Drosophila melanogaster: one gene and its partners. The protein of the gene in region 3 interacts with the protein of the main gene of each other region in a pairwise test. Each region holds a gene or a part of one and is shown on either strand. Other genes may lie near its edges. The genes, in order: Fum2, Awh, CG5111 and CG31249.

Region 1 (4,593 bases), on a different chromosome or scaffold from region 3:
GTCTGCCCCTGTGTTTACTTACTGATAATTATAGCCATTCTTATCGGATTCATTCGCATCGACAGGCCTCCCAGGAGTTTCGCGTGGAGAGCGACACCTTTGGCGAACTGAAGGTGCCCGCGGATAAGTACTATGGCGCCCAAACGATGCGATCCCAGATCAATTTCCCCATCGGCGGAGCCACCGAACGGATGCCCGTAAGTAGTGCCCCCCACTGCCTCCATCTACGTATACATATAATTCTCACGTAAATCTTTCGAAAGTATTTAAAAGTCAGCATTGAAGGTTCAAAAAGCAGCAAGGTCTAGCTAATTACTAAGTAAAATATGGCTTAAATTAAGCTTCTATTACAGAAAGCAGAACAAATGGTGAATGCTAGTTCAATGAGTTTGTTCATTGTAATTCAGAGTCTATAGAAAGTTAAAGTCTAAAAAATGTATTAACTACATTAACATAACACACAAGTATGTTGCGTAAAGTAAAAAATAAGAAGAAAACACATTGAAAGCAACTAAAACTCTCGTTAATCCCCGCCAGAAACCCGTGGTCCAGGCCATGGGCATCCTGAAGAAGGCCGCCGCCGAGGTGAACAAGGAGTTCGGACTGGACAGCAAGGTTAGCGAGGCGATCTCGAAGGCGGCCGACGATGTGATCTCTGGCAAGCTATACGACGACCACTTCCCGCTGGTCATCTGGCAGACGGGCTCGGGCACGCAGAGCAACATGAATGTGAATGAGGTGGGCATGAGCGGTCATTTGTTTCATTTGCACTATTCTCAAATCTCCTCTAACTCTCTAACTCTCAAGGTGATCAGCAATCGTGCCATTGAGCTGCTGGGCGGCAAACTGGGCTCCAAGACGCCCGTGCATCCCAACGATCATGTGAACAAATCGCAGAGCTCCAACGATACCTTCCCCACCGCCATTCACATCTCGGTGGCGCTGGAGCTGAACAACAACCTTAAGCCGGCGATTAAGACGCTGCACGATGCGCTGCGTGCCAAGTCGGAGGAGTTCAAGGACATTATCAAGATCGGACGCACGCATACGATGGATGCGGTGCCATTGACGCTGGGCCAAGAGTTCAGCGGCTATGCCCAGCAATTGGCCTACGCCCAGGAGCGCATCGATGCCTGTCTGCCGCGCGTCTATGAGCTGGCTCTGGGCGGCACTGCTGTGGGTACGGGTCTGAACACACGCAAGGGATTCGCCGAGAAGTGCGCTGCAAAGATCGCCGAGCTGACCAGCCTGCCCTTCGTTACCGCGCCCAACAAGTTCGAGGCACTGGCTGCCCGCGATGCCATGGTGGAGGTGCATGGTGTGCTCAACACGATCGCCGTTAGCCTGATGAAGATTGCCAACGATATTCGTTTCCTTGGCTCCGGACCGCGTTGCGGTTTGGGTGAGCTCTCGCTACCGGAGAACGAGCCAGGTAGCTCCATCATGCCCGGCAAGGTGAATCCCACGCAATGCGAGTCGCTGACAATGCTCTCCGCCCAGGTGATGGGCAATCAGGTGGCGGTGACCATCGGTGGATCCAATGGGCACTTCGAGCTGAATGTATTCAAGCCCCTGATCGTGTCCAATGTGCTGCGCTCCATTCGGCTATTGTGTAAGCTACCTATTACCCACCCTTGGTGGAACGCCAAATCAATCGAATCTATTCCTTTTTGTAGCTGATGGCAGCAGGACCTTCACTGCCAACTGTGTGAATGGCATCCAGGCGAACCGCGAGAATATTGCCAAGATCATGAACGAGTCGCTCATGCTGGTGACCGCTCTGAATCCGCACATTGGTTACGACAAGGCTGCGAAAATTGCAAAGACGGCGCACAAGAATGGCACCACACTCAAGGAGGAGGCCATCAATTTGGGTTACCTGACGGAGCAGCAGTTCAACGACTGGGTGCGACCCGAACAGATGCTGGGACCCAAGTGAAGTGGAGCCAAGTAGGCCGACGACGAAATCCATCATTCAATCATCGCTGTCATCGGAATCGCAGTGTGATTTTCTAGATCAGATCGTTTTGTTGTATATGAATCGCTCGGAAACACAGAACCAATAATAATTGAAAATGCTGAAGCAAAACAATGGTCTGCATCTGGCTAGGCGCAATCTCTGGGTGGTTTGCAGTGGCCTCCGTGCCAAGGATGTAAGTACGCGACAATGGTCGCTGGCAACTCATGGCTACATGGGGCATCTTTGCAGTGCGACAGTGGCGGTAAGGGCGGCAAGGGCAAGGAGAATGGCAAGTTTCGTACGGAGAAGGACACCTTCGGGGAGCTAAAGGTGCCGGCGGACAAGCTGTACGGCGCACAGACGATGCGCTCCAAATTGAATTTTCCCATTGGCGACATAGGCGAACGTATGCCGGTAGGCAACCAACCAACCAACCAACATATTCTGGCATCTACCAAGTGCTTTGCCATAGCCAATTAATCCCCAAACTGCCCGCAGATGCCGGTGATCCAGGCCATGGGCATACTGAAGAAGGCATGTGCCGAGGTCAACAAGGATTACGGACTAGATGGCAAGGTGTCGGATGCCGTATCCTGCGCCTGCGACGATGTCATTTCCGGCAAGCTATACAAACAGGGTCACTTCCCATTGGTCATCTGGCAAACCGGTTCGGGCACCCAGACCAATATGAACACCAACGAGGTAAGATTGTTAGATAGGGCTAACGAGAGAAATGTGTATAGCTGGATGCTTCTCCTGCCCCATGCCATTGGCAAACCTACTAGGTGATCAGCAATGCGGCCATTAAGATGATGGGCGGCGAACTGGGCAGCAAGAAGCCGGTGCATCCCAACGATCATGTGAACAAGTCGCAGAGCTCCAACGACACCTTCCCCACGGCCATTCACATTTCGGTGGGCATGGAGCTGAACGAGCGGCTTGTTCCGGCGGTTACACACTTGAGGGATGCCCTCAAGTCCAAGTCGGATGAGTTCAAGGACATCATCAAGATCGGACGCACCCACTTGATGGACGCAGTTCCGCTGACTTTGGGCCAGGAATTCAGCGGTTATACACAGCAGTTGACCAACGGTCTGGAAAGGATCAAGGGCTGTCTGCCGCGCGTCTATGAGCTGGCTCTGGGCGGCACTGCTGTGGGTACGGGTCTGAACACACGCAAGGGATTCGCCGAGAAGGTGGCCAAGCGCATTTCGGAGCTAACCTGCTTGCCCTTCGTGTCGGCGCCCAACAAGTTCGAGGCACTGGCTGCCCGCGATGCCATGGTGGAGGTGCATGGTGTGCTCAACACGATCGCCGTCAGCCTGATGAAGATCGCCAACGATATCCGATTGCTGGGATCGGGTCCGCGTTGCGGTCTGGGCGAACTAATGCTGCCGGAGAACGAGCCCGGTAGCTCCATCATGCCCGGCAAGGTGAATCCCACGCAATGCGAATCAATGACCATGCTGTGTGCCCAGGTGATGGGCAATCAGGTGGCGGTGACCATCGGCGGCTCCAACGGGCACTTCGAGCTAAATGTATTCAAACCCCTGGTCGTGTCCAATGTGCTGCGCTCCATTCGCTTGTTGGGTGAGTCGGAAATGTGTTTTCCAAGTGGAAAAACATGCATACATAACCTTCTCCTCCCAGCTGATGGCAGCATGACCTTCAGCAAGAACTGCGTGGAGGGACTGCAGGCCAACAAGGAGAGGATCGACAAGATCATGAACGAGTCCTTGATGCTGGTGACCGCGCTGAATCCGCACATTGGCTATGACAAGGCCGCCCTGATCGCCAAGACGGCGCACAAGAATAAGACGACCTTGAAGGAGGAGGCACTGAAGACCGGAATTACCGAAGAGCAGTTCAAGGAGTGGGTCAATCCCAAGGAGATGCTGGGACCGAAGTGATTCGCTGTGCGGCTATTGACGATTTTGTTTTAGTTTCGTGTAATAAATTTTTGTGTGTAGCAGGATATTTCAATAGATTGTATTAATTTGTTGATTTTACGGCAGGTGAATAACGGTTTTTAGTTTTTGAATTCTCCAAATGATTCGAGTCCACACTACGCGATAGTCATTATCGATTCTAAAGATATACCGTAAGTGTGGTCACACTAACGCCTTGCTGTTTCTAAATTATTCCGTTGTTTTTATCGTAAATTCTTGCACACTTAGCTATTATTTTATAGCGAAATATAAGCAAAGCAAGCTTTTAAACAAGTGTTTATTGCGGCGCACATTTTCCGTGACAAATGAAAAGATCCAGCTGACCAGCGATTATCTAACGACCAAATCGAATCGAAACGAAACGTTGAAGTAGGCGCATTACATTAAAAATTGGCTGCCAGGCAAGTTGGAGGTCGTAAATTAATCGTTTTGTTCAGTTGAAAATAGCCCAAAATCAGTCTAGCCCACACAGATATCGAAAAAGGCGATATATCTTTGGATAATCATTGCAAAAATAAACCCTTTCGATTCGACGATTTCGCCTTGTAGTTCTGCCACCACCGCCCCCACACTTCGCCCCGCAGCTGCACCACAACCACCACCACCCACAAACAGAAAATTTATTTGCGACGCAAAAACAAAACAATCGAATCGAAACGAACCGAACCGAAACGAAACGACAGC
Region 2 (4,904 bases), on a different chromosome or scaffold from region 3:
TTAACTTTAAGCTTGAAGCTTTTATTTAAGTATAGAACAGTTTAAAGATATATTAATTTTTTTCCAGTGCAGTGACAGGAGAACGAGAGCCAGCAGGCAGCAGCATTTAATCCTGCAAAAAAGGCATTGCGAGGCACCATAAAATGATGTTAATCCTTAAATAACGTGAGCAAAGCAAAAAGCGGAGAAAAAGTGGTAAAAAAAACGGGGGCAGGCAGAAGGATTGGCGAAGGAGGAGGCGGTGGGGGCCACTCGACTGGATGATGGCGACAGCCAAATGCCAATTGAATGCCAAGCGGCTTTAAGAGACAGCCCACGATCAAAGAGACAGTGAATGAAAAATGGTGCAAAGTAATGGTTAAAGTGCTCGAAATGGAAATCCTCAAGGGGATCGGTGTTGCACATAAAGCTTAAACTCAGGCTTAAATCAAAGTATAAAGGGGACAAAGGAAACTGGAGTAACTTGAAGAGTTATTTAGCACCAAGGAATCATTAATAATAGTACTTTCTTTAAAAGTATTAATATAAAAGCAATATATTGTTATTGTTGTTATATTATTATTGTTAAAGCCATGCAATTTAATTTTATGTTAAATAAAATAAAATGTTTTTAACTTTAAACCTTTTTTTCTTTGAGTCAGTCTGCTGCGCTATCATGTTTGGCATGCCATCACAAACAGCCAACAGAAATAAAAAATATATAACCGAAAAGACAGCAGCATCCACTGGCATCAACTCACTTCCCCTCCATCAAGCGGTTTGACCCCAAAAAGTCAAGTGCGGCGGAGCTCGAGTTCCGTTTTCCCTCTCCCTTACTTCCTCCCTCGATATTCGGGTTTTCCTGGACTTTTACTCACTCAGGCAGCAAAAAAGTCAGCAGGAAAAGCAGAAATGACAGTAACATCAGTTGAAGTCACGGTGAAAATTATAGTAACAACAATATACTTACTTGAAAAAGCAAAAGTGGCAGTAACAACAGCAATATTATTGAAAGGCACAACAATTCAAGGAGAATCTTAAGTGGAAATATCCTGAGTAAAAGCAAAAGAGTTAGAAGCAACATCTGTTCCAGTAAACGCAGCAGCATGACAACTGTTACAACTGCAACAGGAGCAACATTGGTAGCTTTTCTAGGCAAAAGTAACCACAACAGTGAAATCTTTTCTAGGAAAAGCTGCTACAACAGATACTGCTTTATAAAGAACAAAAGATACAGTAACAGCAGCCACACGAGTCTCAAAAACAGCAGCAACAACATCGAAAGCACCAGCAATATGACAGAAATTCCTTCGAGTAACAGCCATATCAGTAGAAATGGCAACATCGTCACCAGAGCAACACCCACCCAATTCGCGGCACGATTTCACTCCGAGTTTCGACTCGATTCAAGTGGCCAAGTTGGCACGCGCCGGCGCACTCAATTGGTGCACAGGCGGCGCGGACTGGGAAAGCACTCAAAATGGGGGACACCACTGCGGAACTCGTTATGCGGGGCGCAAAGGGGCGTGGCCAGGCGGGCCAATCACCACCATTCCCGTTGCGCCGACGACAGATGTGCGCTCAAAAACCAGTTGAGCGAGTTCTCGAGTCGAGTTTCGAATGGGACTGACTGGTGGTTGTGGTTGTGCGTACGGCTGGTTCATCATCATACCTGTGGTGGTGGCGGGCATGCCATGAGCATATGGAAACCGGGCGTGAGCCGAGCCAGTTGAGCACCACCACCAGATCCCTGAGCTCGAACCCCGAGCGCCGGCAGTTAACGCAGTGGCCTCGAAGCTGTAACAACATCTCGCGTCCGCTCGATCCGCTCGATCCGCTCCGCTCCGTCACGAGAAAAGCGAGAAGCGCTCAGAGTATCTGCAGTGAAACGTGTTATCGTGATAAGGTTCTACGAGTATTCCATGCCATAAGGTGTCGCACATTATATTATTGAAATCGAAACGCAACATTCGCCGTCGGCTAAGAAAGTGAACTGTTATCGAATGTGCTAATCAAAAACAAAAAAAATGTTGCAAGCGCCTGCAAATTGATTTCTATCTCGGATATGCGAATTTACACTGGTTATTAATAGATCTGGTTTAAGAATACGATTATATAAGCATCCTATGCAGACGGCGGCTTCCGTGGGACGCTTGACAAACTGATCAAGTCGTCGTCTTTATCATCTATATCTCCTCATACTGGCTGCGATCGGGCTCGATATCGATTCCCAGGCTAAAGCTGGCGACAGATTTTCGAGCAAGATACTTGGATTAACAACCGCCAAAATTGTGGAGGCAATTAAAATGAAGGTGAGTCTCGATTGCTTTATAAAAAGATAGATTGAGTTGTAAAAAATCAACTTTATTGCTATTGGAAAGAGGAAAGTTATCAGTCTGTGTATTATAAATTTCTACATTTTTGAATAAAGTTAGTCTTTAATATTCTCTATTAAATTAGACTGTAAGTGTTGCATGTTCCACCCGTATTGCTCGGCGTTTGAGCGGTCTGTTTGCACACCCCCTCAAAATGAAGTTTCTGCTTTCCTTTTTAATTGCTGGACATAAAGTCCAGTAGACCCCGAGTGACCCACAAATCAGTTTTTTATGTAAAGTTTCCTAGCCCGCTGCGAGCATATTGGGCCAGAAAACGCAACAGGCGGCGTTTGCTCGACCATTGGGAGTAAAAAAAGAAGTGAGCCGGAGTTAAGACAAAAACCGGAGCAAAACAGTTTCAATTCAATTCGAAAAAGCCAGCACACTAATAGCGGCTGGAAAACGATGAGTTTTCAAAAATATGGAGACGACACAGGGCGGTGAATATGAAAAGCACACAAATCGCACAGTGGGGTTCCTCCCATCGAAAACACTCAGCGAATAAGCCACAGATCGCAGCCCACACTTTTGGGTATTACTCGAATATTGGCTGTGAAATGAAGGCTGATATTCGGATGTATCTGCAACCAAACCCCAAAAATCATATTCAACTTGGCCTTTTTTTTTTTTTGTTTTGTATCTTTTCAAGACATTGCATTGATCGTGTCGCCTAGATGATGTTGCTCAATCCCTTGTTCATTCAACAACACATATTTTTTGGTTTTTGAATTTCGAATTTGATTTTGACTTTGATTTTATTTCATACCCAGTCCGAAAACGTTTAATCGATTTTTACACCCGCTGTGCGACGGGCTTTTTTTGTTGTGTGTGTGAACCACCCACAGGATTTTCGAAAAATATTTGCCATGAGTCTGCAGAGAATCGATCATGATTTATGCTCGCCGATGATCGATTTACCATGGCTTTGTTCGACGAGCATAATTTTCATTACCATAGCAAATTGGACAAGGTGCTGACGCTTATTGCTCTGCGATATAATTTTAATCGCCCGATTTTATTTAGCTAGATTTCTATACGCACCACGGTCATAGGGGGAAAAATCAGATCAGCGGGGGATCCGCTTACAATTCGAAGTCCAGAACTCAAATGTCAACAGTTCTGAGGTGCCGTCGATGGTCAAGGGGCATGGGGGATTCTCGGCGAGAGACCTTTTCTTGACATCATCGATCTTGACCCGGCCCAGATGTTGGTGGATCCCCCCCCTTCCACATGTCGCCGCCCCGCTTTATCATCCAAATCCAAATCCGAAAATGACGCCACTAGGCGCTGCCTTATGAATATTCAACAAAGTATGGAGATGGAGTCTTTTTTTCCCTGCTCTTAGGTAGTCAGTCGGAGAAAGAGATATAAAAAAGGCATAAATATTTAAGCGCTTAAATGTCGAATGCCTGCGAAGCAGCTATAAAAAACGTATATACATATTTCAATAATCGATTTTTCATTAATAATTCACAAGAAAATTGAAAGATTGGAAAAAACTAAACCTCCCATAAATAGATACACCAAAAATGTTTTGTGTAAGAAGTCGTTGACGCCTCCATCTGCGGTTCGAAAAAGTTTTCTTTAATTGGCAATTGGGTATTTGAAGGCGAACTAAAAATACAGAGTGATTACAGAGATTTTAGGATTTGACTTTCTATATCTCCATCTACTTATTAGCTTTGAGTGTTTGACAAAACACCTTTTGAGGATTACACGCCTAACTCCATTGTCCCATAATCCCGCACAAGAAACCAAAAAAAGGAGCGCGTGCCGATGGCCAAGATTTTCCTACTTACCAAAAGGATGTTTTGCAAAACCAGCTGCCTGGCCAGCGGTCAGCAGATTTTTCAGCAAGCCCCCTAATAATTGGATTCCCAAACAAAGGACATTCTGAAGAGTGTCCTGTGACCACTGGTCGAAAATGCCTAATTGTCAACGCTGACAAGAAGTCTACGCCTCGGTTCTTGTCTCCTTGGGAAAACAATGGGCAAACGGAAAATGCATCTTGACTTGAGCCAATTGCCCCGATCAGGGACAAAGAGAAACAAATATCACACCTTTGTTTTGGGCCTCGAATCCATATATGTAGTATGTACATACCTATTGACAATAGATGCCAGAGTTCCTGGTCAGTTTTCAGTCGGGTTGCGCATGCGAATTGCAGGAAGAGATCGCTGGGTAGATGTGTCAAAATCGCAGCAGCATTTTTAGCAGGTAAATGCGAGAAGTCCTCTTCGAATGAACATCGAATGCAGGAGGCACAAGAGGTCCTCACAAAACCGCACAATGGAAGGCGAGTCGAGTGTCTTGCCATTGTTCGTTCGAGTGCATCCACAAAATAGTCCTTAAAGGACGCTTAGTTGGCCTACAAATGATGCATGGCCCTTGGGCCTGTAAAATTGTAAAATGCCACAAATCATTGCCACTCCTGTCTGCCGGCAACTCAAAAAAAAAAAAAAAAAAAGAAATCAAGGAAGATAGAGACCCAAACCCGCCCCTGGAATTTACGAGCCAACCCCTAAATGCAAACCATTCGATTTCGATTTC
Region 3 (4,403 bases):
AAGACCCCAGCTAACCTAATGACAGACCACCCGAACACCCTTACAAACGATATTACTACAGACTTTTACGACACTTTTCATTAGCAGCCACACTTGCTGTTGTCGCGGGTAGCCGGAAACTTTCTTTTGTATGTTGGAAATGTCTTGGACCTGGTGGCAGTGTCTTATTTTCCACACACCCCTAGTGGGAGTTATTAACCCTTAACCACACGTTACCATTTATAACCCGAACAAAGTGAACCGAGCGCGTTAAGCTGACAATGGCAACAAATTTTTTTCCTTTTGCCGTCTATTGTGCCCGGAAAATCTGGTGGCAGCCACCATTCAATTGTGGTTCTTTTCCTCTTTGTCTGCGGTTTATGGCTTTTAATTCGTTCTGAGCCTCGATTCTTAAGGGTGCCCAAGTGAATTTCGCACTGACATCAACGGATATTGTGTGATAATTGCCACAAGAAAAATATTCGACATTTTTAGAGCGTACATTTCGTTTGCATTTAAATGGGAAAATTAATTAATCATTTCAGATTTGTATTCATTTAAAACACTTCAATTGAGCAATATGAAAATTAACCGATCGAAAATGTATATTTTAAGTATCTTAAGTGGCTGATAAGTGCTGATAGATAGATACATATAAGTACTTTTGAGGTAGGTAGATTGATTACACATTTCTAGATGATAGCCGTATAAAAAAAAGGTATTAGATAGTTGGAGTGGGCAATTCGATTAATTTCTGATAAGACGTAGTTTTCAGCGGGTATATAAACTGATCTTCACTACTGGCCGAGAAAATATTATTAATTGGACAGTAAAATGAAAGCCATCACCGTTTGCCTTTTGGTTCTGGTTTCGGCCACCTGTCTGCTGACCACGCGGGTAAGATTTGCCAATTAAAAAAAAATTAACTTAAATATAATAAATATTTCTTTGTTTCAGGCCAATGCAATAGAATTGCTGGAGAACGAGAACTTCGACTATGATTTCGACTTTGAATCGGAATTGGAGCAGTTGCTGGATGAACTGGACAATGACACTGACTACATGGATGTGGAGGCACAGGGCTTTATTAGAACATGCCTTAAAATCCTTCGCAAGGCATTGAAAACGGTTCGAGGCACCAACTGTATTATCAAGGAGGTGACAAACATCCTTAGTTCATGCACCAGCTATGTGGATGCTATTGATGCCTGTGGCACTGCCATTCCCAAGGATGTGGCCAAGATTGTGGACTCCGTTAAGGAGATTATCAAAATCTGCGACGATATTTTGCATCTGCATTCGAAACTTTGTGCCACGGATAAGTCCGTGGGCTCGTCCATCAAAAACTCGGCCAAATGCTTCTGGAAATTGTTCAAGGCATCCATGAGGCTGACCCGAAAGATCAATAAAACCCTAAAACTGATTGCCAAATTGCCAGCCGATACCAGTTCCTGCTTCGTAAATGCCACCAATAAAGTTACAGCGTCCTTTAACTCTTTTCTGCCCAACATTGATGTCTGCATCGAGTCTATGTAAATATATTATTATTAAAAAATAAAAAACTCTTAAGCTTACAGCAGATTAGATTTCAATTCTCGAGCCTTTGTTCCCAACAACCTATGAACAATAATATAGTGATTTGATTGAAAATAAATTTTGTTTCATTATGATAAGATAACTTCAATTTCCAACTATGAGCCGAACTGAAGCGATTCGATTAAGATTCGTTAATAAATACAATCGGTATCTAGAGAGGGTTCTTGAACAGCTTTATACTGATATGGAAAATTAATTGTAATTAATTATAAATTGCAATTAAAGGGATTTAACTTACGTCTCTGAATTTATAATAATTTAGCATTTTTTAGCATTTAGCAAAAACAGATGTTAAGGTAACACTGAAAGAGCACTGTCAGAGTTGAAAATGTTCGTCATAAATTTAGAAATTATTTAGTTCGATTCGGGCACGACAGCACGAAACATGTCCCAGATAAACAATATATTCATTAAGCTGCGAGCTCGTCTGCGGGAGCGTGATATCAAGTTGTGGGAGGAGCCGTACTACTTCGAGGAGGTGGGCAGCATCGAGTCGGAGATGGACCGCCTGGCCAGGGACATCAGTGGCGAACTGGGCATCAGTGTGTCGGACTGCAGAATTGCCTTGGGCGAATTGCAAGATGGTGCCTTGCGGAAGCTGGCGGCTCGCCGAGAGTTCAATGACACCGGATTGGCCACGTTCAATGTGCGGTGTGTGGACAGCAAGGGTGGCACCGTGCAAATGCTGGAGATCAAGTGTTCGCTGGGTGGACTGGGCTCGGATCTGCAAGCTGAGGTGGCCAAGAAGTTGGATATCGTTGATTCCAGTCATGTGAAATGCATCTCCGGAGGACGCATCATCAATGGGCAGAAGACACTGGCCTCGCAGGGGCTCAAAACCAATCAGCACCTCATGGTGGTTGTGGGTGGAACTAATGAAGGTCAGGAGTTGCACGAACGTATCCAAAGGATTCGTGCGGACTTGGAGTTAGTTGCGGATGCAGATCGCTTTATGGAAATGGAGGATCAGGATGGACGTCCAATTTTCTTGCCACGCGAGGAAAATCGATCCCTATTGATGGCCATGAGCATGTACGAAGTGGCCAGAGTTGCCATGCATAAGGAGAACTTCGATGAGGCTCTACTCATCCTACTCGAGGCCGATGAACTCTTCTCCCAATGTGACTCAAAGCTCCTGGAAGGAGTGGATAACTATGCCTTAATCAATCTAGATATTGTTTGGTGCTATCTGCGCCTGAAGAACATCACCCAACTGCCAGATGCACAGCGACGTTTGGATATTTGCGAGAGGGGCTTTGTCAAGAGCTATGGCGAGCAGTTCATTCGATTGTTCTCGATTAAGGGTCCAAGTAGCCCGGAAAGAGCTTTGATCATGAGACTGCACCTGCTCCAAGGTGTGCTCCTCTTTCACCAAAATCGCCGGGATGAGGCCTACGAAAAACTGGAGGTGGCGACAAAGGACTTGTATGAGGTCAAGATGAATGACACTGAGCTAAGCACTCTCGTTGAAATGGGCTATGAGGAATCGGATGCCAGGTTGGCCTTGAGATCCTGTGCGGGCCAAGTGGATAGGGCCATTCAATATATCCAGGAACGCAGCGAGAGAATCAGTGAGGAGCGAAAGAACTCGGCTGCCGAGAGGCAAGTCAACCAAGAGATGATTTTCGCCGGTCAAGGAGGAGAATGGGTCAATCCACGCAGCATTATTAGGCTCATGGAAATGGGCTACGAAAGGCGTTTGGTTGTGGAGGCTCTGAAGAGGACCAAAAATAATCTCGATCGCAGTTTGGATCTACTGCAGCGTCATTCAGATGAACTTAGGGCCAATCTGCCGCCCATTCCTCCTGTCGATGAATCGTTACTTACTACTCTACAGCACCTTGGATTTTCGGAGATTTCCGCTCGAGATGCTTTGGAAACTACGGGCAACAGTTTCCATAAATCTCTGAAATTTCTATTGAAAAGTTTCCCCAACGAATCGGAATTACTTCATGTTATTGAAACCATGACAAAAGTTTTGGAGGTTCAAGAACCTACGAGCTCAACTAATGCGACTGCAAATAGCACCACCCCACTCGTAAACTTATCCAACAGCAAGGTGAACTTGCTCCAGACTGTCCTTAGCGAGGCCAAGTCGGAGATTGAGTCTTACAATGCCTTCAAGAGATTCAACGAGAACCTCGCCGAGAACAACAACCACTACTTAAACTTGCCCTTGGATCAGGAGGAGCAAATTCTGATCGAGTATAAACGTTTGCTCGAGGGCTAATAAGAAAAAAATAAGATTTTTTTTAAATATTTGTAAATCAAAAAACAGGCAATAAATAAGTACGTACAAATATTTATTGTTGCTTTGTTATATTTTTAACATCTTTTCTCACCATGTTACCATTTCATTTCACAGCCATTCCACTATAGTCTGAATGGTACCTTTTTGTGGCCAAAATTAATAACATAACAGCTAGTCAATTAAATAAAAAAAAAATAAAAAAAATCCAGCTTATAGTGCGTCCCTTCAAAAACTCAAATACTTATTGCCCAGCAAAGTATGCTATGCATTTTGGTTGCTGATGTGGCTGCTGCTATTTGCTCACTCATGTGCATAACGTCACAGTTTTTCACAATTTTGTGTATGTGTGTGTGTGCGCGTGCTCTTTGCGTGTGGCTGACTTTGTGAAAATTAATAAGTTTTCAGACCCTCTCGCCAATCTGCCAATGCCATGCGAAAGTTCTGCAGATGATGGCCAAATAATTTGTCGTCCTGTTTTGTGGCGTTATTTCCAAATCGTTAAACCTAAAATAAACTCCGCTCAGCTTATTTCACTCTTCCATTTCTTTCTTCATTTCGTGTTTTTTTTTTTTCGGTT
Region 4 (4,006 bases), 7.8 Mb from region 3:
ATCGTATATTAAATATATATATAAATAAATGCATAAACTAACATTAAATTACATGAGAATGAATTGTGTATGTAAAAGGGATGAATGCATACATACGTACATCTAGACATTGATATATAAATACATAGAGGATAGTTTTTAAATTCTACCACTTACTAATACCTACATATTACCACAATGTGCAGCATAGGAACTCATAAACTGATCGAACTGAACGAACACCAAAGTTCACGCGGAAATATTTAAAAGCAACACGTATATAAGGCAGTTTATTGGATTCAATGTGGTCTAAATGTTGCAGAAGGACGAATCCTTAGAGATGACTAAAAACCATTGTACATACTTAACTATTATGTAAATTTCACTGTATTTTTGTTTTTACGCAATGTTACAAGGCACATGTAAGTGGCAGCACTGCATTTTGTATTATGTTTATGTGTATGATGTTGTATGATGTATTGATGGGCTGCGAAAATTCCAACTTCTTAGTTTTAATCGCATAACTCGGAGGCGAATGGAAATGAAATTAAGCGAGAGAAACAAGCAAACAAGCAAAAATGAAAAACCCTCAGATGAAGGCAAGCAAACAATTTAAATTGAAATCAAATTAGGTGATATAATATATAAAAATACATAACATATACATACATAATTAATATAAACGAAACATGAAAAATCGAAAAAATGAAACCCTAATGCTGTAATCTTATGTTAACTGTATTATTTGCTGGAAGTGCTGCTGCTTCGTTTTATTTTATATCGAACTTACTTAAGGCGTAAATGACAAGATAAATAATTAGGTTTTTATCTTAATCTTAATTTAAAATGCAAAACAAATAAAACCAAGAAAACAAAGCAAAACAAAACGAAACCATAAAATGCTATAAAACACAAAGCGAAGCAAATCGAACTAAAGCTGTAGAGAAGCACGCAAAAAGGACTAATAACCACACATCCACACCCACACCCAAAATGCTTGGCGTTAGGAAACCAATAAACAATTAATGCAAAACCATACATGGGTGGGTGCACCAATTTGTATACTAAACTTTCTCACACATAATTAACGTGCTACATAAGAGATCGAAAATGAAATGTCTCCAGATTCTGGCATGAGCAAGTCTAGAGGTCCTTCCGGTTTCCGGTGGCGATCCTCTGGATCCAGAGGAACTGCAAGATATTGGGAGATAATAGGAAACTGCTGCTGTTGATACGTGTATTCGTGTAGTTGTTTGCAAACAAATATTATAACTCAGCATCTCGATATATAACGTGTAGTTATTAGTCTATAATTTGCTAGGATGTAAATGTATGTCCCTCAAACTTAATTTAATTATTTAATTAATATACATACATATATGATATACAATACAGCCTTTGTACTTGTCGTTTCTTATCGCTGATAAGGGAAAAATATTTTTTGGCGGGGAAATACTTTTTAGAACTCATTTCGATTTTTTCAGTGCAAATCAATTGGTCAGATTGATGAATCCTATGGTAACGCATTCCCAAAATATTTCTTATTATATTATTATAAACTATATTGCTTCTGTTCAGCGTAGGACATTCACTGTTGAGCGAAAGATTATTATATAAATGTATATTCGAGATAATATGCAATTGAGCACCTAAATACCATGTCTAGGTTTTCAAAAATGTCTAGTAACAAGATCTTTTGTCTGTTATTAGGCTGTACTTTCAGCATTGAGGTCGATGTTACTCGATTGGGAATTTGTGCATTGTATTTACAATGTCAATTTGTTCAAATTTACAATTTCAAAAATCAATTTTAAAAGAACTTACATTAATATTAAGAATTCGCGTGTTCCGGGATAAATTTGACTTTTTTAATTAATTGACAATTTTAATCGGTCAATGAAGAGCTTTAAAATTGTATTAATAGTTCTTCAATTAATTGAATAATATGATGTGCAAAAAAATAATTATCGGAAAAAATACTTTTTGACAGTAAGTAGTTTCTTACAAAATATTTGATTTAAAAATTATATATCGATACTTTTTCGAGATTATTAAATTCGAACAGCTTTATCACAGCAAGTTGGCAGCCCAATTTCTACGTCGATAAGTCCTCTCGTTTAATGTTCCATCCCTTAAATTTGGGCGATAAGAATAAGCACAGCCGGCTGTAACATTTTTTGTAAATTAACAGAGCGAATCGATTTTTGTATAGTAATCCGTTGAAAGCATGCTGTCGCTCAAGATGAAACTCGAGGTACTGGGTCGTCCCGATGTTGACATCCCGGTGGTGATGAGCGGTAATTGTCTAGTTTTCCTGATGGGGCTATAAGTCATCCCATTCTTTTCGTTCCGCAGACCGCAAGGAATTCGCCAACACAGTCCTCTGGTTGGAGGACCAGAAGATCCGGCTTTACTCCATAGAGGATCGCTGTAAGCTGCGCACTGTCGACAACCCTGAGATCTGGAAGGAGGGTTACTTAAAGTACTGTGCCGATTTGAGCATGCCGCCCCTGGAGACGCGGCAGGAGCAGCTGGCCTGGATTGTCAGCTATGCTGTGCGCCTGGACTTCCTCGATGATCCTGATCAGTTTGCCTCGATTAACACCAAACAGGTGCCACCCCAAAGCAATGGCAAGCAGTCCCAACAAAGGGTCCAGGCTATTTTCGATGGAAATATTAATAGTATGGTCTGATTTTAACTAAATTTACCATTTAAGGAACTTTAAATTTATATATTATGGATTTTTTAAGAGGTTCCAAAAACCACTTTTATTATCTATAGATGATAATCAGGTAAAGTACAACAAGTATTAATTCTTTCTTCCCACCAGCTCAGGAAAAAGCGTTCGTGGATGGAGTCCGGCTGCTGGCCAGCAAACTGAATGTGCCGCACCACCCGAACCATCTGTTGCAGCTGGAGGCTATCGCTCGCGTGGTGCACGAACGCCTCTCGCCCGCCGCCAAGGATCGCAAGCCGGTAGTGGGTAAACCCTTCCCTTTTGACAAGGGAAACGACGTCGTCTCGTCCAACGACTCTGCCCTGGACCTGCCCATGCGCATACTACGTCTTCTCCAGATCCAGAGCCTACGCGAGCTGCAGACACACATCAATGAGACCATTGTGGCGGTGCAGAACATCACGGCCAATCCAAAGACTGATACCAAGCTGGGGAAAGTGGGATTCTAGACGATTAACAGTAAAGGAACGCAATCGACACAATATAACATAAAAGGACATAAAGAACATAAAAGTTTTAAAATTGCATCTATAAAATATCCTTTAAAGCCAAGCAACAACATTTAGCAGAAATCAATAGATAGATCAACAGCCAAGCTATGAACAAGCAAACACCTTTTTTGAAAGCTATAAAATAAGAATCCTGTTGATATTTTATAATATTATTATTAATACAAACATATGTTTATTTATGATCCTCTTTCAAAAGATGCAATATTGTGTATGCCTATGTAATTAATTTATTTAAAATAAATCATAAATTCATTAAAGCAAACAAGGTTTTGTTTTCAACGATTTTAAATAGAAAAAATTCTAAAAACAAGGTTACAGCTATATTATTGTAATGCCACATGGTCGTACAAAAGAAAACATTAACCTTTATATATTAAGTGACTCTACGATTATAATTAAAACGTCATTGAATTAACGTCTAGAAAAGAACTGATGATCAGTGCTAGTATTTTCCTGTTCTTTTGGCTTCTCGGCGGTTGCCTTCAGGAAATTCGCGTCTGCCAGGCGGGCCACGCCCAGAACTCCAACGGCTATGGCGACGAAGGAGAAAGGAGTAAACATAAGACCGGATTTAAGATCCCAAGTGGCTCACCTGCAGCCAAGCCTTTCATAGTGAAATTCTCCAGAGGTTTCGCTTGTCTTTTTTTCGACTGTGCCAATAGGAAGGCACCAATTCCCAGGAGTCCAAGGCCACTGACCAGACGGCAGGCCAAGCAGTCCACCTCGTTGGAAACGTTGTCCTTGTTCCAAAAAGAAAGTCTACCGATCATTTTTAAA

What was found.
Region 1: the proteins of CG5111 (region 3) and Fum2 interact in a two-hybrid assay, tested with the Drosophila melanogaster proteins (one large-scale study listed by BioGRID).
Region 2: the proteins of CG5111 (region 3) and Awh interact in a two-hybrid assay, tested with the Drosophila melanogaster proteins (one large-scale study listed by BioGRID).
Region 4: the proteins of CG5111 (region 3) and CG31249 interact in a two-hybrid assay, tested with the Drosophila melanogaster proteins (one large-scale study listed by BioGRID).

Annotation. Positions count from the first base shown.
Region 1 is NC_004354.4:6,679,761-6,684,353, forward strand, and holds Fum2 (fumarase 2), read left to right. Parts: upstream 1-2,006; 5' UTR 2,007-2,075; coding exon 2,076-2,153; intron 2,154-2,209; coding exon 2,210-2,374; intron 2,375-2,458; coding exon 2,459-2,662; intron 2,663-2,745; coding exon 2,746-3,550; intron 3,551-3,610; coding exon 3,611-3,870; 3' UTR 3,871-3,936; downstream 3,937-4,593. Other genes in the region: Fum1 (fumarase 1), read left to right, coding at 66-197, 538-738, 808-1,612, 1,677-1,939.
Region 2 is NT_037436.4:3,844,457-3,849,360, forward strand, and holds the start of Awh (arrowhead), read left to right. Parts: upstream 1-1,749; 5' UTR 1,750-2,285; coding exon 2,286-2,291; intron 2,292-4,904. UniProt on the Drosophila melanogaster protein: Probable transcription factor. Required for the establishment of a subset of imaginal tissues: the abdominal histoblasts and the salivary gland imaginal rings.
Region 3 is NT_033777.3:25,504,404-25,508,806, forward strand, and holds CG5111 (uncharacterized protein), read left to right. Parts: upstream 1-1,871; 5' UTR 1,872-1,960; coding exon 1,961-3,805; 3' UTR 3,806-3,876; downstream 3,877-4,403. Other genes in the region: CG5107 (uncharacterized protein), read left to right, coding at 814-876, 937-1,515.
Region 4 is NT_033777.3:17,685,166-17,689,171, reverse strand, and holds CG31249 (uncharacterized protein), read left to right. Parts: upstream 1-2,100; 5' UTR 2,101-2,206; coding exon 2,207-2,276; intron 2,277-2,334; coding exon 2,335-2,661; intron 2,662-2,810; coding exon 2,811-3,166; 3' UTR 3,167-3,483; downstream 3,484-4,006. Other genes in the region: CG31360 (uncharacterized protein), read right to left, coding at 3,641-3,759, 3,822-3,999.